Linked DNA regions of Xenopus tropicalis. The protein of the gene in region 4 binds, or shares a complex with, the protein of the main gene of each other region. Links are inferred from orthologs where the notes say so. Each region holds a gene or a part of one and is shown on either strand. Other genes may lie near its edges.

Region 1 (6,689 bases), on a different chromosome or scaffold from region 4:
AGTGGCTAAACACACAAAGATATATTTGCACCAAATCCAGTGCACAGTTCAGCTAAAATCACAGCACTGTTTGCTAGATTCAAAACTATCCTAATCCACAGTGTGGTTCTTATAGCCAAACCAACGCCAAAGCCCTAATGTCATGGGACTTATATGTCCTGAACAGCTGAATATAACAAGCTTTTTATCCCATTATTATGCAGTTTTGATGATTTTATTATCAAACTGAATTGTATAAGCGACTTAGTATTCTACAAAAGTTTTTGAATGGGATGCTTTATCAAAAGGTATAAGCACACACATGAATATGCAAGCATTTTTTCCCAACACTTGTATGACATCAAAAATGGATAATGCAGTTGGAATGGTGAGTGGCTAATTATCTGTAAAGAATAAACGTTTTTTGGCAGTCATTTAAGGCATCACCATTACCTCACAGTTAAACATTTTCCCACATTAATGTACTTTGTTTTCAGTTCACTCTGTTTATCTTAGTATCTGAGATTAAACTTAGGCAAGCATTTGTCATCCTTCTTATCATCAGGCTGACAAGCTAACTACGTGGCTTTGGTTAAGTAACTGAACATATTCTCAGATCTACCAATGCACCGATCAAAGTCTAGTGGTACAAATAACTGCTCCAACTCAGTCAGATGGATACTTTAGTCATGAACTTGATTCAATATTCATCTATGGATAAACTACCTGATAGCTACATAGATCCTGTTTACTACATTGGCCAAATGTACATTATTTTCACTCCAAATAAACAAAGGCTGACATGCTCCCATCTTAAGCTAGCCATACATTGCATTTTCGTATGGTTTTCAAACCGTGTGTGGGCTACGAATTAGTGTCCTGATAATTTTCATACCATAGCAATCAGTAATTTAGTCGATCGGACAGGTTAGAAAATTTAAGTTGGATGAAGATAAAATCTGTGCATCTGTGTCCTTGGGGGACCTAAAATGCATTCCCAGAAAGTTACTTTCATACGATTAGCCAACTTTCCCACATACAAAACATTGTCCAATGGCTTTATCCTACAATTTTAGTCTGAATTTTAGTTTTAGATCGTTGCATTTAAACATACAATGCATATCCGAATGTTCACTGGAAGAAGACTAAAATTTGATCATGTATGGCCATCTTAAAACTGGAGTGTACTTATAGAAGCCTTCACACTGCAGTGATGCCACATTTTGCTGCAACTGCAATTGTGCTTCAGACAATAATAAAGGCAACAAAGTGTGGGCCAATAGGAAGTGCTTTTGACTACAGCATTTGTAAGCTGTGGGGCTCAAGAGGTTTAGGGTGCCCTAAAATAATTCTGCTGCAAGCAAACAGATTATAAGCCTCTGTTCTATTTCTTGTACAAAAGCTAGTTTCATGAATTAACATGTAGAAGAACTTGGTATAATAAGATGTAACATTTTTATGTGAAGTGGAATATGCGCTATGTGCAATTCCGGCTCACTGAATAACAATGGGCAAATCTGCACAAGTGTGGTCACCCAAAGCAACAGTCAGCAATTTAAATTACCCAATTTGAAATCCCATTATCTCACAATGACAAAAGTCAAACTAACTCCTAATATTAGAGAAAATCAACACAGAAAATGTGGAATTTCTTTCTTCTGATCACACAAAAGATATGGTAAAAATAAAAGAAGCAATGTCCTACGCTACCTTTATAATACCATGAGCAAAATGCATATGCTTTAACAGCTTCATGGAATATGTTTCTCTTCTGAATTGTGTTTACTCTGGTGTGAGACAGGCAGGGGGTAGTGGCAGAGATTTACTGACCTGGAAATATTCTATTTGCAGATCAAAATGACCTGTGTTTTTAATCCTCCACCTGATAACAGCACTGCCACGTTGCACTGAGCTTTTTTCAAAGGTAGTTATGTTCTATGTACTTAATAAACAAAGCAGGCTAAACAGTAATCAAGAGACATTTTGCTAAATGTTAGTAGGCACATTTATTTTATAACGAAATGGAAAAGTAGAATACAATTTAATCTTTATGAAAACTTCAGACTCTTTATAATGTAAAAAAAAAAAAAAAAAATCAGTCAGATGAAGCTCAAAAGTAAACAATTTATTGTAAGTGACTTCTTTAGGTTTGCCATGTGGTATAATTAGTCTGGGCACTATTCCGGGCACCTTTGTTAATGGGAATAAATAACTATCTTGCTCTGGACTGCAGCTTATCAAATTTTTGTAGGAAGAAACCAGGTGTTGGTTCACACATTTGACATTGACATATACAGTACAATTCTTCTGCGGAGGAAGCATGCATATACATTGCCGGAACTACACTGCAAATCCATTAAGTAACATGGGTTGTTCTGACCAAACAGAGGGTCTTTTTCAAGTGTAAAAGATTCAAGGGACAAACACAGATTTAAAAAGGAAAATATATGTCTAAAACACATTGGCAAAAAATGAGCACAATAAAAAAAACAAAAAAAAAAAACAACTTATGCTTAAAGGAAAACTATACCCACAAACAATGTAGGTCTCTATAAAAATATATTGCATAAAACAACTCATATGTAAAACCCTGCTTCATCTAAATAAACCATTTTCATAAAAATATACTTTTTTTTAGCAATATGTGCTATTGGGTACTGCTAAATAGAAAATTACCATTTTAAGAAGTAATGGCCGCCTCCTTGGATCATAGTATTAACGGTGCACACAAACAAGCCAAGGCACACATACATGCTAGGCCACATCAGCCAATTATTGGGCAGAGTTCTGCCCATATTATTAACATAATATAAACTATCTGTTGGTTAAGTATTCATTCTGGAGGTATAGTTTTGCTTTAAAATGTATTTTGCCATATACTCCTAATTTTTTTCCATTATAAAGCACTGTTTGAAAAGCCCCTCCTTTATAGACAGGGCAATTTGTTCAGAGATCCTTATTTACCTTCAAACAAATATACAATCCCCTCCCTTCCCTAAGGTGCAGGGTTTGAACAGGAGCTTCTTAGTGGAACAGGAAGTGCTAAAATGAAACTGGTTTCCTTTTCTTATTTTTTTCTTAACGGTTTCTTCATTAAAACAACAGACCTAAGGAATGTATTAACCTGCCTATTACACAGTAACTTGGATAATTCCATCTAATGAAAGGCAACTGCTAAATTTTAGCCTTGCCTCAAACATAGGGGCTGATTTACTAACCCATGAATCCGAAGGGGAAAAATTCAGATTGGAAAACGAACATTTTGCGATTTTTTCGTCGCCGTTACGACTTTTCGTAAATTATCGCGACTTTTTCGTAACCATTACGACTTGCACGAATTGTCGCGACTTTTTCGTAGCCGTTACGATTTGCTCGTATCTTGTCGCGACTTTTTCGTATTGAGCGCTCGTAAACTGCGGGCAAAACTTTCAGACTTAGCATGATTTTGGAAGCCTCCCATAGGACTCAATGGCACTCTGCAGCTCCAACCCGGCCCAAGGGAAGTCTCCCATAGGGCTCAATGGCACTCTGCAGCTCCAACCTGGCCCAAGGAAAGTCTCCCATAGGGCTCAATGGCACTCTGCAGCTCCAACCTGGCCCAAGGAAAGTCTCCCATAGGGCTCAATGGCACTCTGCAGCTCCAACCCGGCTCCAAGACCCTTGATAATGATAATGGTCTTAGGAGGAGACCGAAACGTTGGCCTGTTTTAACAGCATGTTTAAATAAAAGTAACGTTTTAATCTTTAAAAAATATCCTGGTGTGCACCCAATTTTTGGATAATTAGACACATGGAGGTAGCACCCAGGTGATTTATATTAGGGGTTTGGTGTGCTGAAAATTTTGTGGACTGTAATATATATATATATATATATATATATATATATATAGATGAGAGAGAGAGAGAAGGAGCAAGACTACCAACTGGCAACTTAAGAGACAGTATATAAAGGAGGCAGCAGTTACATATTCAAGAGCTCACTTACAAAGTGCAGGGCTGTTGCAAACTACAATTTTGTACTTTTTTCCGCACACTACAGTAGCAAGCCTTTGACTTATGGAACCTACTTTCTGCCGTTCTGTGCGGACACCTACGCAGAGAAGCACTAGCCATATTCCCCCCACCCCATATGTCAAGGCTAATATTGTCGCAACAAACAAAATGAAATGTATAGCAAACCGCAGTGACAGTAGGCAGGTTACAATGTAGGGAAAAACAATGGAGAGACCCTGTGGGTAGCTACCAACTCAAAAGAAAGCTGCCAGTAAGTGGGTACCTGATTTCCTAAAGCCAGGCTTCCGCGTTTCTCCAGCCCCTTGCAACCTTTGGCTGAGCAGCCAATCAAGAGCGGTCGTATCTTGAAATGCTATTGGCTGTCAGAACCCTTTCACTAGAAACAGGAAAGGCCACAATAGTTGCCAGGGGCGCCTTGATTCCAATTCGCTTAACACGAGTCTCCGCCCCCAGTCCATTACAGAGGCCTTGTTGTTCAAAAGAGCTGAGGCATCCTTTCTGGACCAAACCAATGCATTTGAAGGGGGAGGGTTGTAAAGGCTACGTCTGATTCGCTAACCTCGGCCGGAGTGACGCGTCTCCTTCCGCCTAAGCTGGCTGTGCAGTTGGAGGCATTCGCAGGGGATCGGCCGCGTTGGAGGATTGTAGCGTGGTGTGGGCAGTGCTTTTACGAAGGGGAAGTAGGGGAAACAGTGGCACGGCTCTCCCCGGCGCCATACACCAACGGGGACATTTTCAATGGTGGCTTGTACGACTAGTGCTCATTAAAGTACACGGGAAATGCCAGCGAGGATGAGAAAATACGTCCGGGAAAGATGACGAAACGGGTGTTTATTATATTCTGCCTCTTTCTGGTTGGCTCATGGTGAGTGCTTAGGGCCCTGCGCCTGTCTGTTGGAGCGTAAATGCCCACATTGCTGTTACTCGCTGACAGGTAGTCTCGCTGTCATGTACCCTGAATGAAGGGGGGGGGGGGTCTCCCATCATTGTGTGAAAAGCAGTGTCCTAGGAGTCCTGGTCTTAGTATAAATGTAACACTATGCCATTACACCAACAATAATTTCACTTTTTCTTCATGTTCATATGGATGAATTAAATGGAATCTTCTCCTAAAATGTATAATGAAATTGTAATTCCCAGCAGCTTTACAGTATACATTGATTTAAAACACTCAGTGATTTTTAAGCTATTTCTAAATGTAATTGCTGGCTGAAAGTTGTAGCTGCCCTGCTGCTTATATTCTCTGCACTGCTGGCTGTGACTCCTGAAACAATGTAGCAGCATGCATGTCAAAGATTGCTTAGAGTTCTACTTTCTTTCATTATGCCAAAACCGTTTTGCCCCTTAAATAATAACTGGCTAGCTAAGAAAACTTTTCCTTTCGTTAGTACACAGAGAATACCTCTTGGCTTTTATTTTGGCAGAGCTTGAAAGCATAGTCCAGCAACATGTTTAGCTGAGAGATACCATCAGAAATAGTTTCTGTAGGACTTTCCCTAAATGACAGCTGTGTGTTATAATTGGAAGATCTGCAAATTGTGGGTCACAAGCTGCTTGTTATTGCCCCATGTTCATTTGTTGTAATGTATCTTCCTATGGGCTGTGATAAAAAAATTATTTTGAATATCTTTACATTTGCTCATTATATTTCTGACTGCCTATGATTATGAAAGACTTCTGTTTATAGTTATGCTGGGGGAACCAGAATTGGGTCTCATTGGTTTTCCCAGACCTGGAATATCCTGTATCTTTTATATTAAAGTCTTATTTGCATTTAATATAATTATTTTGATTTAGATTTTTATTCACTAGGGAATGCCTACACTGTCATAGATAGAAGTTGGAACTGCTGCTGAGTCAGATTGACAGCATTCTGTTGTATTTAGTTTCAGGGAATGTGATTATGAATGCAGCAGTTGGTATCATTTTAAGGGATGCCGGGGTTGGCAAATTCATATATTGACTAATGGGAAAAAAACTTTCTAATATACATTAATTGAAACTTTTCAGTGTTTTTAGGTTTATTTGCAAATGTAATTGCAATTCAAAGCAGGATGTGCATGGCTCCATATATCCACTACTTCGAACTGTGACTCCTGAAACTATGTATCAAAGGCAGCTGTTTAAAAGACCTGGATTAGAAGTGATTTCTGTTACATTGTTTCAAAAGTCAAAATCAGAAGAAAGTGCAAAGAACAGAAAATGATAATCAAATACTTTTTTTCAGTTACATTTACCAATAGTCAATAGTGAATAATTGAAAAATGTTTAGAATTACTTTTTTTTTTTTACAAAAACAGGTTTTTGTTGGTTGTCTCTTTTGACCCCATAGTATTTGGGACAGCTGCTGTCAGGGATTATCAACAACTGTTTTGCCATAGTAATGTAAGGGCTGAGCATAATAAAGTTAAATAAAGAGTTAAGCTTGACAATGTATGGTATTTGACCAGCTAACCTGTGGGGGCAAACGGATGTATACCATATGAGGGGCCATCTTTCTATTGTTCTGCTTGTTTGGGTCAGAAGGAGGACCTTCTTTTCCTCATCTGCTGCTGTACCATACACTGACTGACATGATGGGATTGGCTGATTACATTTCCAAACCAGCCTGATCAACAAACTTGATATCCATAGTACAAATATATTGTTTGGGATTATCGGTTATAAAATATTGTTTTGATTTTAATTGTACACTG
Region 2 (6,145 bases), on a different chromosome or scaffold from region 4:
TCGAAGGGGCTTCCCAGTCTGTTGTTCCAGCATACGGAATTTTACACCAGCTTAAAAAAAAAAAACAGATAATGAATGAGCCAAGCATGTGTTTGAAATTTGTGGGGAAGATGCATACATGGGACAATTTCAGCTGGCAATATTGGTCCTTTAGACTGATTTGGCAGCTTATCTGCCAGTGTATGGGCACCAATGACGGGCCTCCTTGACCGACATAGGTAGGTATATCGGGAGAAGATCTGCTTGCTTGACAACCTCACCAAGTGAGCAGATTTTACAGTGTATGGCCACCTTTACAATACAATACCTTTACAATACAGATCAGGCCTGACCATTAGGAAACAGACTATTGGTGAACATGTGTTTTAAAGTTTTATGCTGCTAATAACTGCCTGCTGGCTCAGCAGCTCATAATGAGAGGTGAGTTCTTTTAACAGGCAGCCAGCATCTCCAGTGAAGCACCACTCTTCATATTCCTCTATGTTCCCTCTTCAGTTTTAGCAATGTGCAGCCAGCCCGAGGGAAGCCCCATACACATTTCCTGGCTTTTTTCAGTTACATGCTACAATCTGAGCAGCATAAACAGCAGGGTTTGCATCAAAGAGTTATTATACAAAAGCTGCTCACCTGCCAACCTGTACGACCTGCAGAGGCGCAAGACCATAGCATAAAGTGGGAGAGTGTTCAGCAGATCTACAATCAAATGGATGACACCCTGAACCAGGACCACAAGCAGACGTAGCTGTCCAAGACAAGTAAAATAAAAAGATGAAAGAGGTCCTACCAGATTACTTGACATACCAAGATGTTCCATTCCAATAATAATTTATAGTATGATTTCCCCTTTGTTCCAGCACTGTATTCCATTTATTCTTAGGGTTAGTGCCACACAGGGCTGATTCAGCCTCCTACCTTGCCTGCACCCGGAAGTATTGTCCAAGTGCAAGCAGACACTGTGGATATTGGCTGTGAAATGCAAACTCTTGCGTTTTTGGCTGGTATTCACCACATCTGTCTGCACTCAGGTGAACACAATGCTTCCGGGTGCAGGCATGGAGTCTGGTGCCAGCATAGGGGCTGATTCTCAGCCTGGATTTTTCTGCAGGCTGTGACACTAGCCTAAAAGTGATTCTGTGACACTAGCCTAAAAGTGATTCTGTCATGATTTTCACTCTACCATTTAAAATTTTATTCTTGAACCAACAAATGTATTTATTTTAGCTGTAATATTGGTGTGTAGGTGCCATCTCAGTGCATTGTGCCTGAGTCTGAGCTTTCAGAAGAAGCCTGCGCTACACATTAGGGCTCTGGCACACGGGGAGATGTAAGTCGAAATTGCCTCGCGAGGCAACTTCGGCGATTTGCTGAAATCGCCTGCGCAGTGTGTTCCATCCCACCTGCGACTTGCATTTTCGCTGGTGGGATGGTAGTTCGGGCAGATTAGTCGCCCGTGACAAGGAAGATTTGTCGCGGGCGACTAATCTCCCCGTGTGCCAGAGCCCTTAGAACTGCTTTCAGCTAACCTATTGTTTCTCCTACTCCCATGTAACTGGAGGAGTCCCAAGCTGGACTTGGATTTCTTACTATTGAGTGCTATTCTGATACCTACTGGGAGCTGCTATCTTGCTCCCTTCCCATTGTTCTGCTGATCGCCTACTGGGGGGGATATCACTCCAACCTGCAGTTCAGCAGTAAAGTGTGGCTGAAGCAGAGCACAGGTCACAAGGCAGTGGCACCCTGGGAAATGAAGAATATGGCTAGCCCCATGTGACATTTCAAAATTAAATATAAAAAAGTTTGTGTTTTTGAAAAACAGATTACAATGCAGGATTTTGCTAGAGAAGCTCTATTAACTGATGCGTTTTGAAAAAAACATGTTTTCCCATGACAGTATTTCTTTAAGATTCAATGTAATTGGCTCTGTTCTTCAGCGAATATTATATCACATAAAGTTTGATGCCTGGGCTTCCAAAAAAACAAAGGGGCAAATTTAGCAAACATCAAATTTCTTTGATGGTTACTCAAGTTAATATTTGCCATTTGGCTCTGGGCACACACCACTGGCAAGTGTATCTATGAGTCTATGTCCATGTAATCAGTCCTAAAACCACAAATTAGATGTCTATTATTTATTTAGCTATTGCATCAATGTGAAATGTTATTTTTAGGTTCAATATGTTTAGGTTTTAGATAAACACGTACCAGAGTAAATACCAGGTAATACAGGGCTGTGGTTGGCAGGAGAAACAGCAGGATTGTAAAGAGCAAGGTCCCAAGAAAAAGCTGCAATAGAAAAGAGCAGAGATAAGCCTGAGGTATAATCCTGTGCTGCACTATGTATGCTTTCCCTAGGCAGCTGCAACCAGGCCGAGGTACCTGATCCAAATCATAAGAGCAAGAGTCCACTCGCTGGCGAAGAACATTCCACTTCTTGCCCCGGAAGAGACGCCAGAGAGAAGAGAGTCCGTGCATCTTGAAGCAATACAGGCTAGTGTAAAAGAAGGGACAGTTTATCACTTGTACTCCCAGAATTTAAGAGACAGGGGATAGCACACTATAATGATACATAAGTAAAGTAGATGTTCTATGTAGCATTTCTACTGCAATAATCATAGTAATCATAATAACCATAAGGAAAAACATGGTGAGGCTCTTTTATAAACACTGCACGAATTTGCAGCTGGGCAGAAACCCATGACAAGCAAATATTTGCTTTTACTGTTCAGCCAGCAATCCAGCCACTGATTGGTTGCTATGGGTCACTGCCTGCGTGCAAATCTATCCATTGCGATACTTCATGCAAACTGGTTATGGAACGGAACCTATGGAGAAACTATTACAAAGGGTTCCAAATCTTACAATACACAATTCAGTAGGTATTAAAAGTAGTTTAGATGCCAGTTACAGATACTTCCAGCTCGTGTAGTTTACCGGGTGTCCAAACCTGGCTGCAAAATTCTCAGGCAAAAAGGTTTTATCTGCATTGTGTCCCTAAATATTATGGGATACTGCTTTTTCTAAAGCTCCTAAAGCAACCAATAGGTATACATAACCGTAGACACCTGTCACTTAAACATAATGTTGTCTTAAAGGGATGGTTCACCTTTTGAATTAACTTTTAGTATGATGTATAGCTTGATATTCTGAGCCAAGTTGCAATTGGTCTTTACTTTTTATTTTGTGTGTGTGTTTTTCTTTTTTTTTTAATTATTTAGCTTTTGGTTGAGCAGTTTGGAATTTTAGCAGCTACCTGGTTGCTAGTGTTCAAACTACCCTAGCAACCTGAAACTGGAATATAAATAGGAGAGTGGCTAAACAGAAGTAATAAAAAGTAGCAATAACAACAAAATTGGAGTCTCACAGACCAATAGTTTTTTGGCTACTGGGTCAGTGACCTCTATTTAAAAGCTGGAAAGAAGTAAAAAATAAAGACAATAGTTGTATAGAATCAGTCATTCTATAACATATTAAGTTAACTTAAAGGTGAACTACCTCTTTACATATCCCAGAGAGGGTTGGCATTACAAGGGATCGCAATGCTGTACAGACAAGTCTAGCTAAAACTCAGTTGCTCTTGCAAAGGCCCACCTTCCCAAGCTACACCATCTACAGTCCAAAATTGCAACTCTGCTCCTCTGTACTTGATTGTTAAGGGCAGATTGGAGCAGAAGGGTTAGAGTTTGCCATGTGTTTGTAGTTGAAGTCAGGACCAGGCAATCAGTGAACATTGCCAAAGAGCCTGTGACAGGAAGACAAAAATGGTATGGGGGACGGTGGGTAGTGGGCTTTGGGAATGATGCCTCTGCAGGGACCCTAAGTTGTATTCATTTCTTTCATTCTCCTTTAGCTACAATATTTACAATGGCAGTTAAGTTCTTCTAGACCAGTGATCCCCAACCAGTGGCTCATAAGCAACATTTTGCTCCCAGAGGCCCCAAAGTAGGTGCCCATTTTTAAATTTCTGGCTTGGAGGCAAGTTTTGGAAGCACAGAGACATAGTTTTACTCCAAGCAGAGCCTCCTGCAGGCCAGCAGTCCCCATAGGGCTACCAAATAGCCAATGACAGCCCTTATTTGGCATCCCCACAGAACTTTTTTTAATGCTTGTGTGGCTCCCCAACACTTTATACATCTGCGTGTGGCTCATAAGTAAAAAAGGTTGGGGATCCCTGGTCTAGACCCTAGATAAGTAGTATTTTATGAATATTAGTTAAGGCAAATTCAATACAAAATATTGCCTTAAAAGGCAATATTTGATCACTCACCGAGCTCCATAAACATAGAAACAATATATATGAAATGTAAGGAGGGCAATGATATCCGAGAGGATGGACAGAGCAACTGACAAGCCCAGACAGGCTGACAAGCCAATGTACCACAGGATGACTTCGATAAATGGGGACATCAGGCGAATGTAACCTGCGCAGGAATACAATTAGGAAAATATGTAGTATTAATAAAGTAAATGGGCTCAAGTCCAAACACATGCCTTTGCATTACTATCAGATTTGCTTTTAAGTTTTTATAAACCAAACAAAAGGGATAAAGGAAAGAATTAAAAATGAGAGAAGGAAATGGGTATAGCTTACTGATCCAGAGGTGGATATGGTACAAAAAGAAGCGTCCCAAGACTTCATCCAGAGCTCGGTTCATTTTTAATCCAGCCGGAGCACCCATAAGCCACTGCAGCAGCCCCTGCAGCTCCAAAGCAACACGCTAATGGGAAAAGAGAGACAGAAGGAAATTGGGATGCATGCTAACAATAAAAAACCTGATTAGTACTTTTTATTATTTTAAAGAGGGATGCGTTTTAACCATATGTCTTATGGGGCATTTGGTCACTGCTGCCTGTGCAAATGCCCCTCATCCCTTCTCACAGTAATTTGTATGAATTACTGTGATTTACACTTAAAATTAAATTTAGTCCGCCTACAACATGGTAAAAGTTCATTTAAAGGCAAACTTCCCCTTCAAAATGGGAGGTTATGTTTCTTAGCTGCTTACAAAAACATGAACCAAGGGTTTTGTGGGTTGAAATTCAGGTTCCCTGTGTATGACTTACATCAGCAACGGGCATGAGTGTGTCGGCCAGCTGACTGATTCGGTTCTCTCTGTACAGCCAGGACATCAGTAAAATCCCCAGGGCCATGTCTAATAGAATGGAAACGACAGTGTTGGACTTCCTGAAAAATAACAAGCAAATGGTACATTTATGCACTTTGGAGAGACATCTTGAGGAAGCAAGCAGACTAGCCAAGTGGCTTAAAGAGAGCACTAGGCAGGAGTCACGGGTGCTTTCTAGCTGCCTTAAAAGCAATGTGACTGCTGTTGGCGGTAAACATATTCTGGCCTAGAAGTAAATGCATTACCAAGTAGGTGAGCTTGCACATACATGCTGTTAAGTGTATGGTGGGCAAAATAATCCCTAATAAATAGAGAACACCTATATGCTGAAATCCAGCTGCAAAACAGTTCTTCTCTTTCTGCATCATTTGAAATCCTGGCAGGGGAGGAGGGACTAAAATACTGATGTTACAAATTGTAACAATTCTGCAGCTGATAGAGAGCATAAAGGAACTACATAACCCACAATGCATTGTACTGTGATGTACTTTTCCTTATTCACATCATGTGTGCAGGGAATCGTGGGATATGGAGGATGCAGGCTGAAGGCAGGCTGAGGACAGTCGGCAAAGTCTCAAAATAGTCAGCCAGATCAGCAGAACAGGGGGCGGGGCTTAGGGAACTGTTCCAAACCATATTATTACATTAAAATCATGAAAAGGCTGCATATTTTTTAACTGATGTATATTGCAAAGTTGCTTGAAATTATGTCTTCTTTTTAAAATGCTGAAGTTCTGTTTGAGTGGCATTTTCCCTTTAATGTATTTTCAACAGTGGATAATGGGTAGCCCTATCTAACACTGAAGGTGCAGGCAGGTGTTGGAATTGCAGTCCTTCAATACAAATAGAGGAAAGTAAAGGAACCTCATGAACTGTATATGATCCTTGGCTCTCTCTGCGCTGCTAACCAGTCTGATATCCTCCAGGCGTTTTCCCAACTGCTCGGATGTTGACAGCTTGTTCCATAGAAAGGACAGGGGTTTTCCACTAAGTACCCTATTTGAGAATAACAGCAATATTGT
Region 3 (6,933 bases), on a different chromosome or scaffold from region 4:
TACTAGTGCAGGGGTGGGCAAAGTTTTTGGCTCGGGGGCCACATTTACTCACAGGCGGGCCAGGCCGGGCCAACGTCCTCCCACCAGCTCCCCCCCCCACCAGCATCCTCCATCTCTCCGACCTGCAGCTCTCTCCATCGTTCCGCTGAGTCTGTTCCCCGGCTCCCCGCTGCATCCTTTTTTATGGTTGCGCCCCCTGCGCACGAGCACGCACGAAGCGCAACCAATCAGGGCCCAGAAATTATTTAAAGGGACCCGGAGTCAGCGGGCCGGATTAAAAAGGCCAACGGGCTGGATGTGGCCCGCGGGCCGTAGTTTGCCCACCCCTGTACTAGTGTCTACTGCTGGGTGTGTGGAGATTTTTAGAGACTAAGGGGCAGATTTACTAATCCATGAATGGACCGAAAGCGTCCGAACGCGGGTTTTCGTAATGATCAGTATTTTTGTGACTTTTTCATCACCGTCGCGACTTTTTCGTATGTCCCGCAATTTTTTCGTCGCCAATACGACTTTTTTGTCGCCGTCGCGAAAAAAACGGATTGGTTTTTCCGCCGTTTACTATTGCTCAATACGAAAAAATCACGACGCCGATGAAAAGACTCTTACATCAAGCGCATGTGCATAATGAGCTAGCGGGAAGACTGGAGAAAAACCCGATTGGCTGGGAGCCCCAGTGCACTTATGGAAGAAAAGGAGGATCCAGAGAGTACCTGGCTTTGGAGCCAAAACCAAGGGTGGGGTTGGCAGGTTTTTAAAGGGCCCCTGCTGCAGTGCCAGCCATAGAGAACCCGATCCAGAGGAACAGAGAGCAGCAGACAGGTGATTGCACTGCCAGTAACCAGAAAGGTTACAGAGTGCTCAGCTGGTTTTTGAGCTCCAGCCTAAATGGAGAGAGCATTCTGCATCTTGTTAAACTGCCAGTGGGTTTCTGTTGTTATCCTTGTATGTTCCCTGTGTGAGGGCAGGTGTTGATCGAGTGCCTGCAATGTGGAGCAACTGCCTATCCAAAGGGAGTGGTACTTTGGGGCAGGTAGCACTACAGGGGAAACTAAAGAACTCTTGGGGAAGGGACTTTGCCAGAGACTGAACTGGGAAAGGGTATTTCCACCAGGAAAGAAGTGTGGGACTGTGTCCTAGGAGAGACTGTGCCAAAAGTTTAGTTAAAATGCATGTTAAATGAAACATGCATTTCCCAAAGCAGGGTCATATTATTTGCCTTTTACAGTGATTACATTTTTCTAAATTGCTATATAAAGTTTATCTTTTCTGCAAACTGTGTGTGATTTATTTTTCTAGTGGAATCCCCCTGAGGTGTGCTCCTCAGTGACCACTAGGTGGAGGCACTGCACTGTAAAACCCAGTTCCCAGAAGTGAGTGTAATCCAATTTCTGCAGAAGTGTGCCAAAAATAGGTTACAGGGGAAAAATGAGAGGATGATAGGTGCACTTTAAAGCTTATTTCCTTTTAAATGGAATTTGGTTCAAGCTACAGACTTAAGCCCTACCTCCCGTTTTGCTGCCCCAAAAGCTTGCTAGCCCTAGCCTCCCATATGTTTGTGCCTGAAACTGTTTCCCTATTTAAGGGGTAGCTTAATTAAATAGAAAAGTCATTCCTGAAAAATCCCTTGCTAGTTACTGGCTTTTACTAATGAGGGACATTTAACAATGAGGTGCTCAAAAGACTTCTGCCCTTTTAGATCAGATTCTGTTCAGGCTACAGACTCTGACCTTATCTCCCAATTTGCTGACAAGTAGCTTGCTGGCCCTATCCTCCCCTTAGTCTGTGCATATAACTGCGTTACTATTCTTTCTTGGGATAGCTTGAGTTGAAGGAAAAATATTAGTGCAGGACCAAAACAGCTCCCTAGTGTTCTGTTAATTCAACCACATCGGATTGTCCTAACCAAATAGGTCCCTAAACTCCACCTAACCCAGAAAACAGTCAAGCCACCCAGGGCGCGCTGGCTTTCTATTAGGGATGCACCGAATGCACTTTTTTTTTAGCATATGCTAATTAGGATACGGAAGGGTTAAATTTCTAACTTCCGTGTTTATGTGACAAAAAGTCACGTGATTTTTAAGATTCGGATTCAGTTCTGCCAGGAGCCGAAAAAAGCATAATCTTGGCCAAATCCTGGATTCGGTGCGTCCCTACTTTCTATCCACTACCTGACATATAATGAATAGAGTTGCCTCCCAGCAGTTATTTTACAGGCCTGACCAATAAAACTGAAATTTGATTCCAACAGTACTAATAGACAAGATAGCTACCAACAAGAGAAGGAATGGTATTTTTTGTAGAAAAGGTGGCAACACTAACAGTAATTCACCAGCTTCTCTATGCACACTCATGACAACCAGCTCCCCTAATGATCAAATACCCCTTGCAGCCGGTTAGCCTGCTGCCATGTTGTTTTAATTACTGCTGGCTTAGAACAAACTGGCCATACACACATCAATAAAATCATACAAAACCTAGTCTCAAACAATTTTTGGACCGTGTGTGGTCTCAGAATAATCGCCCCCAAAGTTTGTCAGAAGAAGAACTGAACTTGTATGGAAAATAAGGAAGATAAGATCCAGCCACAGCAATGTAAAATGTCCCTGTGCACAGGAAATTGCAGCAGACAGAACAATCTTTATCTAGTGTCCATTTTAAGATATCTGTGTGTGTTCAACTCCCTCCCCACCACAGAAGCCCCCCCCCAGCTCCCTACCTGTCACATACCCCATCCGACTAGCTCCATACTCCCCCTGACTTCCTCCCTGTTTTATCCATGCTGTAGCTTTCTACCTTGTCTACTCCCTACTCTGTGATTCTTTGTGCTGCAGCATTCTATACTACCCGCAACCTGTTCAGTGCAGTATCAGACTGGGCTGCTGGGGTACTGGGAAAAAAACCTGTTGGTCCCCGGCGGGCCAGATCCCCTCCCCCAGGGCTCTCCCGCGATCCACCGTCACCCTCCCCCAACATACCGCAGGTAAGTTTCTTTTAGAAGCATGGTCGGAGGGTGTTTGGGGCCTCTGCAGGGGTTGGGGGGGGCTGGGGTTCCTGAGGCAGAAGCCCCAGTGAGCCCTGCACCCCCCAGCCCGACCCTGTTTCTGTGTCCTATAGGGTTCTCAATTTATTGCCCATGAACCTTTTCAATGATCTATATATATGCTGTGCCTTTCCAGCTTTCATTTGTATTTTGCCTGACGAAGGGGCCTGGGTGCTTCAACACAGGGTCAGACTGCGGAGTGAAGGGCCCACTGGGGCTCCCGCCCCAGGGGCCTTGTAGGTGCCCGTGCAGGGCCCCCCACCTGACATCCTCCCCCGAGCGTGTAAATTTAACACGTCAGGGGAGGAGCACTCGGGCAGGGGGAGCATCGGCAAGGGTCGGGTCTGGGCCGCCAGGGCCCACTTTTCCCGGTGTCCCAGCGGCCCAGTCCGACCCTGCTTGGACAGCTTGCAATTTTTCTTACTCAGCCAATAAAAGGTATCAGATTTTCTGCATTGTTTTTAATGGCTAACACAGTACAACATCTTAATTCCATAGGATTCCACAGTGAACAAAGCTTTTTGCTTTTAACAGGAATACTGTTACTGTATTCCTGTTTACCTATAACTTATTTTGAGCACTGTTAGAAATTAAATTGCTACCACCTGTCAGGCAATGTGGGCTGGTACCTGGTTTAACACAAATACAGAAGGAAAAATCGCCTGGCAGTGAATGGGTTACATATCTGTGATCGCAGGAATCAAAGGGCAAACCAGATTCAAGCAATAATATCAAGTAAAGGTAGTTTAACATTACAGAAAGACTTTAATCACAACTCTTTCAGATATATTTTGAGGGTTTTGCAGGCTGTGGGTTTATATAGTTACATGCACATGGTAGGAACCACTGAGACTGCTTTGTGTCGTGTGAGGGGCTGTTTATAGTGCTGCACAGGAAGAAGGGGTGGAATCGTTCCTGGGAAGTAAAGGTTGTGTGTCAGTCAGTTTCTGTGCAGAAAGTGGAACATGCTGGCTGTCAGGGCATGGGGAAGAACATATAATACCTTAGTCCAGCGGAAACTAAACGCTGCCTGTCCCACTGGCGCCCTGCCAGCTGTCACACTGCGGCCCTTGCACTGCTCTTTAGTTGCCAGATCCCCGGAACAGAGCCTGAAGGACAGCAAGACGTTTGATCCTACCCTCTTGCAATTCCTGGTCTGCCCTCTCTCAAGGAAATCGCTGAGGTAAAATACCTGGCACTGGGTTAAAGGGCTCTGATACAGTCAGTATACTGCTGCTGGGTGGGGGGGTCATTAAGATCACCTATGATCCTAAGCATTGCTTCCCCCCAGAGGTGCGGGCTACAATACAAGGATACTGCCCCCTGCAGTGCTGGGCTGCCCCTAGTTTGAGCAAAGTGTCCCATCAGACTTGGGTTTCTCTGACTTAAAGTTATAGCCACGTATTGTTCTATTTATAATTTCTAATTAATTACCCTTTAGAAAGACTATATTGATATTAACCATTAGCCAAATGTTAGGGCTTATATTGAAAATATCGCTGCTTATTTTTATTGAAAGGGGAACTACAGTTTATGAACCAAAATTTGTTAAAGAGCCCAACACAGAAACCCCTAATATACCTAGCACTGTAAACTGTTTCTTTCTGCTAAACCTTCTAACCTTCTTTCTGCATTATTTAAAATCCTGGGAAGAGGATTAAAGAAGAGGGACTAAAACACTGATGTTACAAATTGTAACAACTTCTCCACATCTTACAGACAGCACTCAGAAACTACATTACCCACAATGCATTGCCCAGTGATGTTATTTTCCCTATTCCTTATTATATGTGCGGGGAATTGTGGTAACTGGAGAAGGCAGGCTGAGGACAGTCTACTGCATTTTATTTGAGTCTCAAAGTAGTCAGTCAGGTCAGCAGGGGAACAGGGTGTCCCATACACCTAAGCCTGTACTCTGTATAGGGAAATATTCAGTTTATTAACAGCAAGCAGATGTCTCTTTGCTATTTCAAGCTTAACTAGAACTCCTAAATGCATTTTATATATATTATATATATATATATATATATATATATATATATATATATATATATATTGAAAAAAAGACCAGCAACACCGGATCTATTGCAAACAATCAATTATATATTGAAAAATACATGAACAGCCAACGTTACGTTTCGGTCTTGAGAAAGGTCCCGACGGGGACCGAAACGTAACGTTGGCTGTTCATGTATTTTTCAATATATAATCGATTGTTTGCAATAGATCCGGTGTTGCTGGTCTTTTTTTCAATATTTAAACTCTTTTACCGTGCACCCGGGACAAGGATTGAAGCGGTGTGCCACCCTTGGCTCGATATATATATATATATATATATATAATATTGATTATGGAATGACGCTTGTGGTTTGAAATGTACTGATTTTGGTGATCAAATTTCCCGACATTAAATATAAACGGCTGTGATTCCCCATTCATTGATCCAGATCTGATTGTTTATATGTCATTTTTTTTCCCTAGATATGAAGAATCTACCAATGAGTTAATTAATGACGAGCTGGGTATAGCTTACCCAATTGTTGATGGCATCCCAAATATGATACCACAGGATGCCCGCATGATTCATAAAGATCAGAAGCCTGAGAGCCCAGACACAGAGCAGACAACATAGTTTTTTGGATTTGTTCCTGCAAACAATAAAGAAGCCATGTTTTTCTCCCTCCCTGTGCTGACTGTGCTCATTCCTCTGGTGTCTTTGACAGGGTTATTATACTCTGCCTCAGTGGAAGAGGATTTCCCAAATGGATGCACCAGTACAGCAAGCTTGTGTTTTTACAGCCTTCTGCTTCCCATCACTTTGCCTGTCTATGTGTTTTTTCATTTGTGGACTTGGATGGGACTCAAGCTCTTTAGGCACAATTAATGCATAAATGAACAGAAAATATCTCATTCATCCTTCTGCTTTCAGATAAGATATGGAGAACATGTTTTCAGATTGGTCGGTTACAGCTTTGCATAGAAATATTAACATTTAATAGAAATAAAATGAATGTAATTGTTTTGATTTTTGTACTTTCCTTTCTATTTGAGCTCCTTTAAAGACTCTATTCCTAAAGGTACACTTACCTGGGTGCTGCCCCATTTGTAAGTTAATAGGAGCTGCTCTCTGGCAGCTTATGTGCTTAACAATAAAATTGAAAGCAAAAAATGCATCCTAGTTACTGATGCAATAATTGTCGGAGTGTGGGGTGCAGGGCTCACCGGGGCTGCCGCACGTGTAAATTAAAATTACTTTTAGCACGTTGGGGAAGGGAGATCTGGGGCCCAGTCCTACCCTGCTTGCTTTCTTTAAAGTCATTTAAAATCGTCATTCCAAGTCCCTTTTCTATATTATTATTGACAGTAATGAAGTGCTGGCTGCTGGGGTCAGTGACTTCCATTTGAAAGCTGAAAAGAGACTGAGGAGAAAAGCAAATAATTCAGAAACTATAAAGAAATGAATGCCAGTTCTATAACATACTAAAAGTTAACCTAAAGGTGAACCACCCCTTTTATGCCTTAGTTTATACATTCAGTATATACATCCATGCAGGCCCTTCTGGGAGAACATGAGGTTTCATCAAGTAGTGGTTATCTACTTTACATGTGGAAGGGAAATCATTGTAGGTGACTATTGACAATGTCATGAAACCAAAAGATAAAAGGGGATATTTATAATGGCTGCAAAGTGGAAAAAGACACAGTTGGCTGTTTTTTACACTTTGCCAGAATGGGGCATTGTGCAAATAGCCACAGGCCTCTAAACTCTGGCAGAGAGAACCTTGAATCGACTGCTGCCTGTGCTAGAGAGAGCTTAGTTCAAAAGAGGCATGCTGGGAATGTACAGATACAGGCAGTGAGTTATCACATTTTATCACAACATGGCACTATTC
Region 4 (4,903 bases):
CCAAGGTTAGTCCATAGTTGCCACGTTATGGCTCTTCACAGATAAGATCTCCTGACAGCTTCTGTAAACATCTGTCAAACAGTCCATGCGGGGCTTGGAGCTCTATATATGGATAACAGAATATGTTGAAAAAACAGGTTAATTAATCAACATAAAAAGGTCGTTTTAAACAGAAGAAAAAAAGCTGGCTATACATGGGCCAAACCGGGACAATGATCAATCAGCGCAATTTGGCACAGCATATGGGTGGCCAAACAGGGCCATATCTACTCTCTTGGAAATTTCTCCAACAGAGCAGATCCTGCAGTGTATAGCCTCCTTAAGGCAAATAGATTTTAATACAATTTTTAAAGCAGGTCATCCATTCAAAGGATCAGTAAACTTTCAGTTTATACATTGCCTATTGCCCCAAGACAATATGAAGAAGTATATGTATAATTATGTTCCTCTTGCTAGCTATGCTAGCATGTTCTTTCTGGCATCAGGTTGTTGTCAAAGTGTCTACAGGAGGCCATGCAGCAGATAACAGTTACAATGTATGATAGTTTTGACACAGGCACTTTTGAGTCTGTAGACACAAACTGGTGCTACAGCAGGTAAGGTAACCCACAAATTTCAAAAGATTGCAAATAGGATGCTGTTAGAATAAAGTAACCAAACAATGTTTCCAGAGTCTCCACTTCTGCACTAGTCAGTTAGGAATGTATGGTACCATACATTTTTTTTTTCTTGAAGGAAATAGAAAAGAAAAATATTAGAGTGTGCTGCTGTTGATTCTAAGAAATCAGAATATAGGTTAGTAATACGCTTCTATTTTTTCATGCACCCTGCAGCACACAGACATATTATGGGGTAAAATAATGCAATTTCAAGACTGGGAAATAGAACTTCAACGACCACCTGCTGAACCTTCCTACCAAAGGATGCATCAGTAAAAATGGAGACATTCAAATGATTAACAAAATGTATTTGGGCCAGACCAAACAGTTACTTTATTTTTGAGATATCTAAACATCTTTGTCCACCTCCTCTGCCAAAGAGATGACTATTAATCCTATAAAATGTGCTTTAATTTTAAAGGTAGTTTTTTTCCCCTTCTTTGCCTCCTTCACAAGGGGTGCAGAAATGGAGGTTGTCTTGGCACACATTAACTTTAATGGAAGTTCTACTACATTTATTCAAACACTTGTAATTTTTAACAAATCAAAAGGGTGCAATGGTAAGTCGTAACCCTGGCTATTTCCTTTTTTTCTGTTATGAAGGAGCCAAAGGAGCAGAATTGGGGCACACTAAAGTTAGTCAAGTATAATGCTATGAAAAATGAGAAAGGCAAACAAATGAATTTTCTTACCTGAAACACAGGCACAATTTCTGAAATCTCTTTTGGGTCAGTGGGATCTTTAAGCAGTATGCACAGGTAGTAGACAACCTTTTGCTGAAAGAAACCAGATTAAAGTTAGTAGGAGTTTTAAATGTAACTTTACAATGGGTAAAGTTTTTACACCAGGAAAAAACCCGGTTGGCCCCGGCGTCCCAGGCCTGATCCCTGCCTAAGGCCCTCCCCCCTTACCCCCTAAGATTGCAACACAAGTATAAGAATGCAACCTGGTGTGGGTGGTGGAGGAGGTGTGACTGGGGTGGGGGGCCCCAAGGTGACTGGGGTCCCAGTGGTCCTTGGACACTCCAGTCCGACACTAAACTAGAGGGCCAAAGAACCTTAACTGTGGTATGACATGTCGAATCCCAGTAGTATGTCAGGATGCAGCCTACAGCGATGCTGCCACTAGAAGCCTTCCTCCTAGCTTTATCCACAGCAACAGAGTGATAAGAATTCTGAGGAAACTGGTTTCAGTGTTGTCTGAAGAATTTGTAGTAATGCAATTAAGGTTTTAACAGCAAATGTTTTTCTCATAGTTTTCACTGTATGCTCCATCTAACATATAACACATATGGGACGTATTATCCAGCATCTGAGGCATTACCTCAAGATTACCAAAAACATTTGAACATAAAAAACCCATTGGCATGTATTTATACAAGTTTGGTTAACATCACCCAAGTTGCCAATTGCTTGTTTAAAAGTGAACCTTTAAGTTAACTTTCAATACATTAACTTTCAATACATTTCAAATGCAATTCAAAACTGGAGAGCTGCTAAACAAAAAGATATACAATTCAAAATCTGCAAAATAAATAAAGACAAATTGTCTCAAAACATCACACTAAAAGGTAATTGAACTGCCCCTAAATGTGACACTATGGAAAATGCGATTCTTTTAATCAGAAAATATCATGTCCAAACCATTCTGTATAATAGATACCACACCTATAGAAAATAGGGTTCATATCTAGTTATTTACCTTTCTTTTGTTGAGAATGCAGTACTGAGTATATATTCAGTGAATCCCAAATTTTATAACACCAGGAAATGCTGGTGCAACTTTGTTATTCAGCCTCCAGTGTACAAAAGTGCTAACCTTCTGCTTTAGGCCAATGCACTCCTATAAAAATGCACCACCAGTATGTACCAGCATTGCGTCAAAATATTTTTAGTTTTGCAGATAATGGGAATCAGCCAGTCCGATACCAGAATATGGAAAAACACACTTTAAGATTTTGTAATTAGACAGGATTACATGCTGCAAACCAGCTTGAGGAAAAATGTGTTATTTTTTTAAAAAGGGTCTTTTAAGGTGGAGTTGGTCTTTAAAGAAATACATAATGTGCTTTTTTTGGGGGGTGGGGGGGCAAAATGGTCTCCTACCATAAAGAATGCTTCATTGATGACAACATCTTTCACTCTGCACATTTCTATGAACACTGTGCTTTCTTTGCCTGATGCAAATGAGGTGGTCAGCTGAATCCCAAGGCTGCCGATAAGCAGTAACGACTCCTGGTCAATCTTCATGAAATGGAGGTAGAGTAGCAGGCCGCAAATTGTGCAAATTATTGCAGCAGACAAAACAAGTGTGTTCTGTACAGGAAAACAGATACAGAATGAAGTGTTCAGTCAGAACGGTTTTATCAAAAAGAGGATGCCAAATGCCCAGTCAAACAGGGCCAAAGTCATTGGGACACAGCCCCTGGATTAAAGGGCAAATCAAATAATATAACAATTGTATCCCAAACTTGACAAAAAAAAAAATATCAAAAAAGAAAATTAAAAAAGAAATACAGATTTTCAAATAAAAATGTGATTTTCTTTTTAAATTTTCTTTTTAGATTTTTTGTCAAGTTTGGGATTCAACTGTTATATTATTCAGTCAGAGATGACAATACTACAGTACCCAAATACTTGCACATTTGTATAAATTTAGGTCACACATCTTTTGTCAGTTACTAGCTCTTTTAGGCTGATTCAGAAGTTGGCACCCCCTAGCAATTTTTTTTACATCCTTATATATATTTTGCAATAGGGAATTATATAACATACAATGCATGATAAATATATACAGTGAGGAACATAAGTATTTAAATACCCTGGGATTTTGCAAGTTCTCCCACTTAGAAATCATGGAGGGGTCTGAAATTCACATTGTAGGTGCATTCCCACTGTGAGAGACAGCATTAAAAAAAAAAAATCAGAAAATCACATTGTATGATTTTTAAAGAATTTATTTGTATTGCACTGTTGCACATAAGTATTTGAACACCTGAGAATCAGGTGTTAATATTTGGTACAGAAACCTTTGTTTGCAATTACAGAGGTTAAACGTTTCCTGTAGTTCTTGACCAGGTTTGCACACACTGCAACAGGGATTTTGGCCCACTCCTCCACACAGATCTCCGCTAGATCTGTCAGGTTTCGGGGCTGTTGCTGAGCAACATGGAGTTTCAGCTCCCTCCAAAGATTTTCTATTGGATTTAGGTCTGGAGACTGGCTAGGCCACTCCAGAACCTTGATATGCCTCTTACAGAGCCACTCCTTGGTTATCCTGGCTGCGTGCTTCGGGTCATATCATCTTCAATGCTCTGACCGAGGGAAGGAGGTTGTTGCTCAAAATCTGACAATACATGGCCCCATTCATCCTCTCCTTAATACAGTGCAGTCATCCTGTCCCCTTTGCAGAAAAGCACCCCCAAAGCATGATATTACCACCCCCATGCTTCACAGTAGGGATGGTGTTCTTGGGATGCAACTCATGCTTATTTTTCCTCCAAACACGGCGGGTGAAGTTCAGACCAAAAAGTTCTACTTTGGTCTCATCTGACCACATGACTTTCTCCCATGCCTCCTCTGGATCATCCAGATGGTCATTGGCAAACTTCAGACGGGCCTGGACATGTGATTACTTGAGCACGGGAACCTTCCGTGCAGGTGGACTATTAAGGCTGATGCCACACGTGGCGTTTTTACACTGCGTTTTTTCTCAGCCTAAAAACGCCGCACAAGCCACACAGCCTCTGACTATGGCGTTTTTCAGCCTAGTACTGGTGACGTAGCAAATCCCGTTTCCATGGTGCTAACAGTGCAAAATAGTAAAAAACGCTGCGTATTTCAGCTAGGTCTGGCAGCTGCCTTTGTGTATACATAGGAATAGCTTGCTTTGCAAATACTGGCGTATTTCAGCCAACGCTTGAAAAATCTGTGCTAAGGCGTTTTCTAGCGTATTTCCGCATTGTGTGGTTTGCTTCGAGTCTTTTCAAGTTATTTCTATGGATGATGATATCAGGCGTTTTTCAGCCGCTGAGAGAATTAGAAAATACGCAGCGTAAAAACGCCACGTGTGGCATCAGCCTTAAAGGCAGAGTAACAGGTCTTTGAGAGCCAGAATTCTTGCTGATGGCCAGGTGTTCAAATACTTATGTGCAGAAGTGCAATACAAATAAATTCTTTAAAAATCATACAATGTGATTTCCTGAATGTTTTTTTTAATGCCGTCTCTCACAGCGGGAATGCAAC
Region 5 (5,311 bases), on a different chromosome or scaffold from region 4:
TTAATAGGAAAAAAACATAAAAAATCTAGGAAAGCCAGCATTTGTTTTTCCAGAAAAGGCAACAACCCTAATTTTACTGCTCTTATTTTTAGATGTTTATCTTTCTTTTCTAGCTCTCTCCTATTGATCTTCCATCATACTGATTTTTAAACTGCTAATTGGTTGCTAAGATCATTGAGCACTAGCAACCAGATAGCAGCTGAAATTCCAAGCCTCAGTGTTGCAGAGCAAAAAATGGTTTGTATGGGTTTTCAAAATGACAAATATTAAATAATCACTAATTGCAAACTGTCTTAGAATTCCAATAAAAGTGAATTTCAAGGTAAACTGCTTTTTTTTTTATATAGCAAGTGAAGTGGCAGCACAGTATAAATGTGACTGGGAGCATAGACCTCTGCAGAATCTGCTGTTCCCACATCTCCAAGTCTGCGCATTTGCACCTCTAAATAAAACACTTGCACCCATTGGTTTATGGGGCCCAAGTAAAAAAATAAATAAATAAAACACAGTCCAGAAATATATAGCTACATGAATTATCATAAAGAATGGGGTTTTGTGGGTCCGAAGGATCTTCCGGCATCATCTCTCAGTGAGGAAGAACATTTTATTAACCTCGCTGATGGAAATGTCCCTCAGTGCTGGGATGGCATCCTCTTGGCACGCCTTCTCTTGCTGATTTTTGGCATAAGAGTCTGGAAATTGTGGTAAAAATTTACAAATTACAACACTCAGTGGCACTGAAAGAACAGGTACCGCTGATCATCTATTAGCTCTGAGCGGCACTGGGAGTTCTTGAGGTTGCCCATAACTGCAATAAACTGCACTAGGATATTGGCCAATCTAGTGGCTGCTTTCAGTCTGTATACCCAGCATGCATTGCAATCCTTGGGCTGACAATGTAGCACCAAGGGAGGTTATTTACAGAATATATATATATATATATATATACAGTGGTGTGAAAAACTATTTGCCCCCTTCCTGATTTCTTATTCTTTTGCATGTTTGTCACACAAAATGTTTCTGCTCATCAAAAACCGTTAACTATTAGTCAAAGATAACATAATTGAACACAAAATGCAGTTTTTAAATGAAGGTTCACGTTATTAAGGGAGAAAAAAAACTCCAAATCTACATGGCCCTGTGTGAAAAAGTGATTGCCCCCCTTGTTAAAAAATAACTTAACTGTGGTTTATCAATTTCAATTTTCAATTTCAATATCAATTTCTGTAGTCACCCCCAGGCCTGATTACTGCCACACCTGTTTCAATCAAGAAATCACTTAAATAGGAGCTACCTGACACAGAGAAGTAGACCAAAAGCACCTCAAAAGCTAGACATCATGCCAAGATCCAAAGAAATTCAGGAACAAATGAGAACAAAAGTAATTGAGATCTGTCAGTCTGGTAAAGGTTATAAAACCATTTCTAAAGCTTTGGGACTCCAGCGAACCACAGTGAGAGCCATTATCCACAAATGGCAAAAACATGGAACAGTGGTGAACCTTCCCAGGAGTGGCCGGCCGACCAAAATTACCCCAAGAGCGCAGAGACAACTCATCCGAGAGGCCACAAAAGACCCCAGGACAACATCTAAAGAACTGCAGGCCTCACTTGCCTCAATTAAGGTCAGTGTTCACGACTCCACCATAAGAAAGAGACTGGGCAAAAACGGCCTGCATGGCAGATTTCCAAGGCGCAAACCACTTTTAAGCAAAAAGAACATTATGGCTCGTCTCAATTTGCTAAAAAACATCTCAATGATTGCCAAGACTTTTGGGAAAATACCTTGTGGACCGACGAGACAAAAGTTGAACTTTTTGGAAGGTGCGTGTCCCGTTACATCTGGCGTAAAAGTAACACAGCATTTCAGAAAAAGAACATCATACCAACAGTAAAATATGGTGGTGGTAGTGTGATGGTCTGGGGTTGTTTTGCTGCTTCAGGACCTGGAAGGCGTGCTGTGATAGATGGAACCATGAATTCTACTGTCTACCAAAAAATCCTGAAGGAGAATGTCTGGCCATCTGTTCGTCAACTCAAGCTGAAGCGATCTTGGGTGCTGCAGCAGGACAATGACCCAAAACACACCAGCAAATCCACCTCTGAATGGCTGAAGAAAAACAAAATGAAGACTTTGGAGTGGCCTAGTCAAAGTCCTGACCTGAATCCTATTGAGATGTTGTGGCATGACCTTAAAAAGGCGGTTCATGCTAGAAAACCCTCAAATAAAGCTGAATTACAACAATTCTGCAAAGATGAGTGGGCCAAAATTCCTCCAGAGCGCTGTAAAATACTTGTTGCAAGTTATCGCAAACGCTTGATTGCAGTTATTGCTGCTAAGGGTGGCCCAACCAGTTATTAGGTTCAGGGGGCAATTACTTTTTCACACAGGGCCATGTAGGTTTGGATTTTTTTTCTCCCTAAATAATAAAAACCCTCATTTAAAAACTGCATTTTGTGTTTACTTGTGTTATCTTTGACTAATAGTTAAATGTGTTTGATGATCAGAAACATTTTGTGTGACAAACATGCAAAAGAATAAGAAATCAGGAAGGGGGCAAATAGTTTTTCACACCACTGTATATATATATATATATATATATATATATATATATACACACACACACACATATACACTAGATTCTATATACTGTAGCCAGAGTCCCACTTACCTGTTACAGTGTGTATGGAGTCTAGGGGAGCAGTGCTCATCATGTTTATACCAAACAGAAAGATATAGGCGATGCCGAACACAACGAGGAGGTAGACGGGCACTGCCACAGCCCAATATCTATAAACACAATTTGTAAAAGAAACTGAAATGCCAGACAACAAAGGCATTACTATCAGTCTGCAATTACTATACTGTAGGTAGGACTTTGTGGCTGCACACAATATGTATCCTGTTATCCTACTGACATACTGTGCCACATTTACTAACAAATATGCTCTAATTTGTGCAGAGTAACTGATCACAGATGTGCATTCATTCTTCTGTCTGCAGGAGTCTGATTAAAGCTAATTGTTTTACTGAAGGCTTTGGGTGCAATGGGGCTAATATACCTGACAGGGTTGGACTGGGCCGCCGGGACACCAGGAGCAGCCCAGACCCGACCCTTGCCAGCGCTCCCCTGGCCTACGGTGTTCCTCCCCTGATGCGTTAAACTTAGGCGCGTTTAGGGGAGGACGTTGGGCAGAGCCACTGTGGGTGGTTAGGGGGTGTAGTGGGGGCCCCTAGGGGATGCAGGGGATGCGGCTGGCAGGGCACCTCCAGTGCCCCTGGGTCGGCAGCCCCGGTGGGCCCTGCACCCCCCAGTCCGACCCTGATGCCCGATGTTAGTAAATGATCCCCTTCTGTGTATCTGGGGCTACAAAGACTTTTCAGACTGACACTATACCATGTAAACCTGCAGCCATCCTGCTTTGCCCAGAGAGAAAGGGAACACAGTGCATACAGTACAGCTATGTGTATAGTGCTTACATCAGTACTTACTTTTGGGGCCAGTACGTCAGTCCTAATGAGTGTAACCAAGACTCTGGGATGAAGCCCCACGTTAGGTACAGAACTGAAAGTACAAAACAGCAGCTCAGTCACAAATACCAGAAAGACCAATTAAATAAGTGCAGTAGGGTGCAAATGCCCAAAAGTAACTGTATCCTAGATTGTGACCAGTGTTTTGTGGCATAGCTGAGAGGTGGCTATTAGGTGCTGTGCAATAATAAACAGAGACTATGGGGCCCCCCAATGGTTTAGTTGGGTAGGCCAAAGGTTTGAGAAGTGCTGGCCCTGTTAGAGGACAGAAGTAAAGAAGTAGTGATGTGCGGGTCAGGGACCTGCAGGTTGGGTGGGCTTGGGCCGGCAGCCACACAACTTTCTTAAGCCCAACCTGACCTTACTTTGCCCGCTTACGCTTCCAAATGTCGCTATTTATTGATTTGTGCCTGTGTGCCCTGGGCCTTTTGTGATGACAGAGATGGTGGGTTGGCCAGGGCTACAAATTCCGAGGCTCGGCGGGTTACTGTCCAGTGCAGATCAACTTTTTGTCGACCCACACATCACTAGTAAAAAGGAGATAGAGGCTGTCAGGTTCTCTGGTGGCCCTGGGGAGCCCAGTCCAAAACTGAAAAGGGGAGCAAGGAGTAATGTGGGGAGCAGTATTGGCCACTACGGTCCCTTGCAATGAGAGGACTGAATGGACATGATATTTCTTTATTTAAGCTTTGATCCATATGAGTGATCCGGAGACAGGTGGTGACCAAAGCTTCAGGGGCACAATAAAACATGTTGTATGGAAGGAGCTTGTTCAGCAGAAGATGGCGGCCTGTACGTCTCACTAGCACAGAACCAACTGCTCCAATACACAATGATATGCAAGTGCTGATACTCACTGAAGCCAAACTGGGAACCCAAATACAGAACGAAGCCATAAATTGCCCTTTCAGGTAGCGGGGACGGGGAATTCTCCACCATTGTGATATCTGGAATAAAAAAGGGATAGCCAATTAGGCACTTTCCATTGCTCACAATAGAAGACTTTAGGAATGAGACCCACAGTTATAAACGTTGTTTAATGCCCAGAGAAAGGAGAAAATAATCACCATTAAAAAAACAATAAACTTCAGCCCCTTGAATATAATTTGGTTGTGCCTGATGCTCACTCGGGTGGAACTGTATCAACACAATGAGATTCCATGTGAGGTGCGACTGCTGATAGAGGGAGTCAGGGAAAGTTCATTGGGGTTAATGAGTAACTGGGCCAAGGCCCCGGGAGTGCGGCTCTGGTCACTGTAAGGTCATGGGCTGGCCAGGTGGCACCGAGGCTCAGAAAACTCTATGAACGTCACCCAAAAACTAGTGTTGCATAAAACAATATACATTCACTAACGTGCGATATAAGTTTTGTTTAGATGGAAATCTCTGAAAGCAGTTTATCCATTCTGTTCTCTCGTCTTGACTCCTGAAACAAAGTAGCAGAAGTCTGTTCTCCTCCGGGTCTGTTGGCTTCTGCTACACTGTTTCAGCAGTGATAACCGGCAGATTCTAAACAAAACACCAGGCTTCCCAAGTAGTAGACAATAATGGGCCCAAAATGGGGTAGTTCAGCCCTTGGGCCAACATTCTGGTCATGTAGTTGACCTAAAGTCCTCATTTAGATACCAACTGGGAAAGAGACAGGTTTGGGCAATAAACTATTCAAAAGGGGGCAATTTGGTAAAGAGTGGCCAAGTCTGGTGCCAATGTCTGCAGGGTATAAGCAGTTCATGTACCCAATGGTGAGCTTATCCGATAGGCTTTATCCCTTGGCAGAGGT

What was found.
Region 1: pigh (region 4) and pigc share a complex: the UniProt entries of both Homo sapiens proteins name them as parts of the glycosylphosphatidylinositol-N-acetylglucosaminyltransferase (GPI-GnT) complex. The link is inferred for Xenopus tropicalis from reciprocal best matches to the Homo sapiens genes PIGH and PIGC.
Region 2: pigh (region 4) and pigq share a complex: the UniProt entries of both Homo sapiens proteins name them as parts of the glycosylphosphatidylinositol-N-acetylglucosaminyltransferase (GPI-GnT) complex. The link is inferred for Xenopus tropicalis from reciprocal best matches to the Homo sapiens genes PIGH and PIGQ.
Region 3: pigh (region 4) and pigy share a complex: the UniProt entries of both Homo sapiens proteins name them as parts of the glycosylphosphatidylinositol-N-acetylglucosaminyltransferase (GPI-GnT) complex. The link is inferred for Xenopus tropicalis from reciprocal best matches to the Homo sapiens genes PIGH and PIGY.
Region 5: pigh (region 4) and pigp share a complex: the UniProt entries of both Homo sapiens proteins name them as parts of the glycosylphosphatidylinositol-N-acetylglucosaminyltransferase (GPI-GnT) complex. The link is inferred for Xenopus tropicalis from reciprocal best matches to the Homo sapiens genes PIGH and PIGP.

What each region holds. Positions count from the first base shown.
Region 1 is NC_030680.2:107,289,469-107,296,157, reverse strand, and holds the start of pigc (phosphatidylinositol N-acetylglucosaminyltransferase subunit C), read right to left. Parts: upstream 4,282-6,689; 5' UTR 4,256-4,281; intron 1-4,255. Other genes in the region: suco (SUN domain-containing ossification factor), read left to right, coding at 4,809-4,858. UniProt on the Homo sapiens protein: Part of the glycosylphosphatidylinositol-N-acetylglucosaminyltransferase (GPI-GnT) complex that catalyzes the transfer of N-acetylglucosamine from UDP-N-acetylglucosamine to phosphatidylinositol and participates in the first step of GPI biosynthesis.
Region 2 is NC_030685.2:21,238,043-21,244,187, reverse strand, and holds part of pigq (phosphatidylinositol N-acetylglucosaminyltransferase subunit Q), read right to left. Parts: intron 6,120-6,145; coding exon 5,988-6,119; intron 5,183-5,987; coding exon 5,062-5,182; intron 4,716-5,061; coding exon 4,589-4,715; intron 4,419-4,588; coding exon 4,265-4,418; intron 2,489-4,264; coding exon 2,377-2,488; intron 2,284-2,376; coding exon 2,203-2,283; intron 743-2,202; coding exon 628-742; intron 51-627; coding exon 1-50. UniProt on the Homo sapiens protein: Part of the glycosylphosphatidylinositol-N-acetylglucosaminyltransferase (GPI-GnT) complex that catalyzes the transfer of N-acetylglucosamine from UDP-N-acetylglucosamine to phosphatidylinositol and participates in the first step of GPI biosynthesis.
Region 3 is NC_030677.2:67,792,966-67,799,898, reverse strand, and holds pigy (phosphatidylinositol N-acetylglucosaminyltransferase subunit Y precursor), read left to right. Parts: upstream 1-2,782; 5' UTR 2,783-2,980; intron 2,981-3,962; exon of another isoform or gene 3,963-4,005; coding exon of another isoform or gene 4,006-4,223; intron 4,224-5,521; coding exon of another isoform or gene 5,522-5,672; 5' UTR 5,673-5,708; coding exon 5,709-5,924; 3' UTR 5,925-6,213; downstream 6,214-6,933. UniProt on the Homo sapiens protein: Part of the glycosylphosphatidylinositol-N-acetylglucosaminyltransferase (GPI-GnT) complex that catalyzes the transfer of N-acetylglucosamine from UDP-N-acetylglucosamine to phosphatidylinositol and participates in the first step of GPI biosynthesis.
Region 4 is NC_030681.2:52,818,799-52,823,701, reverse strand, and holds part of pigh (phosphatidylinositol N-acetylglucosaminyltransferase subunit H), read right to left. Parts: intron 2,975-4,903; coding exon 2,765-2,974; intron 1,436-2,764; coding exon 1,352-1,435; intron 103-1,351; coding exon 7-102; 3' UTR 1-6. UniProt on the Homo sapiens protein: Part of the glycosylphosphatidylinositol-N-acetylglucosaminyltransferase (GPI-GnT) complex that catalyzes the transfer of N-acetylglucosamine from UDP-N-acetylglucosamine to phosphatidylinositol and participates in the first step of GPI biosynthesis.
Region 5 is NC_030678.2:12,647,300-12,652,610, reverse strand, and holds part of pigp (phosphatidylinositol N-acetylglucosaminyltransferase subunit P), read right to left. Parts: intron 4,621-5,311; exon of another isoform or gene 4,599-4,620; intron 4,479-4,598; 5' UTR 4,471-4,478; coding exon 4,389-4,470; intron 3,566-4,388; coding exon 3,493-3,565; intron 2,791-3,492; coding exon 2,672-2,790; intron 693-2,671; coding exon 580-692; 3' UTR 1-579. UniProt on the Homo sapiens protein: Part of the glycosylphosphatidylinositol-N-acetylglucosaminyltransferase (GPI-GnT) complex that catalyzes the transfer of N-acetylglucosamine from UDP-N-acetylglucosamine to phosphatidylinositol and participates in the first step of GPI biosynthesis.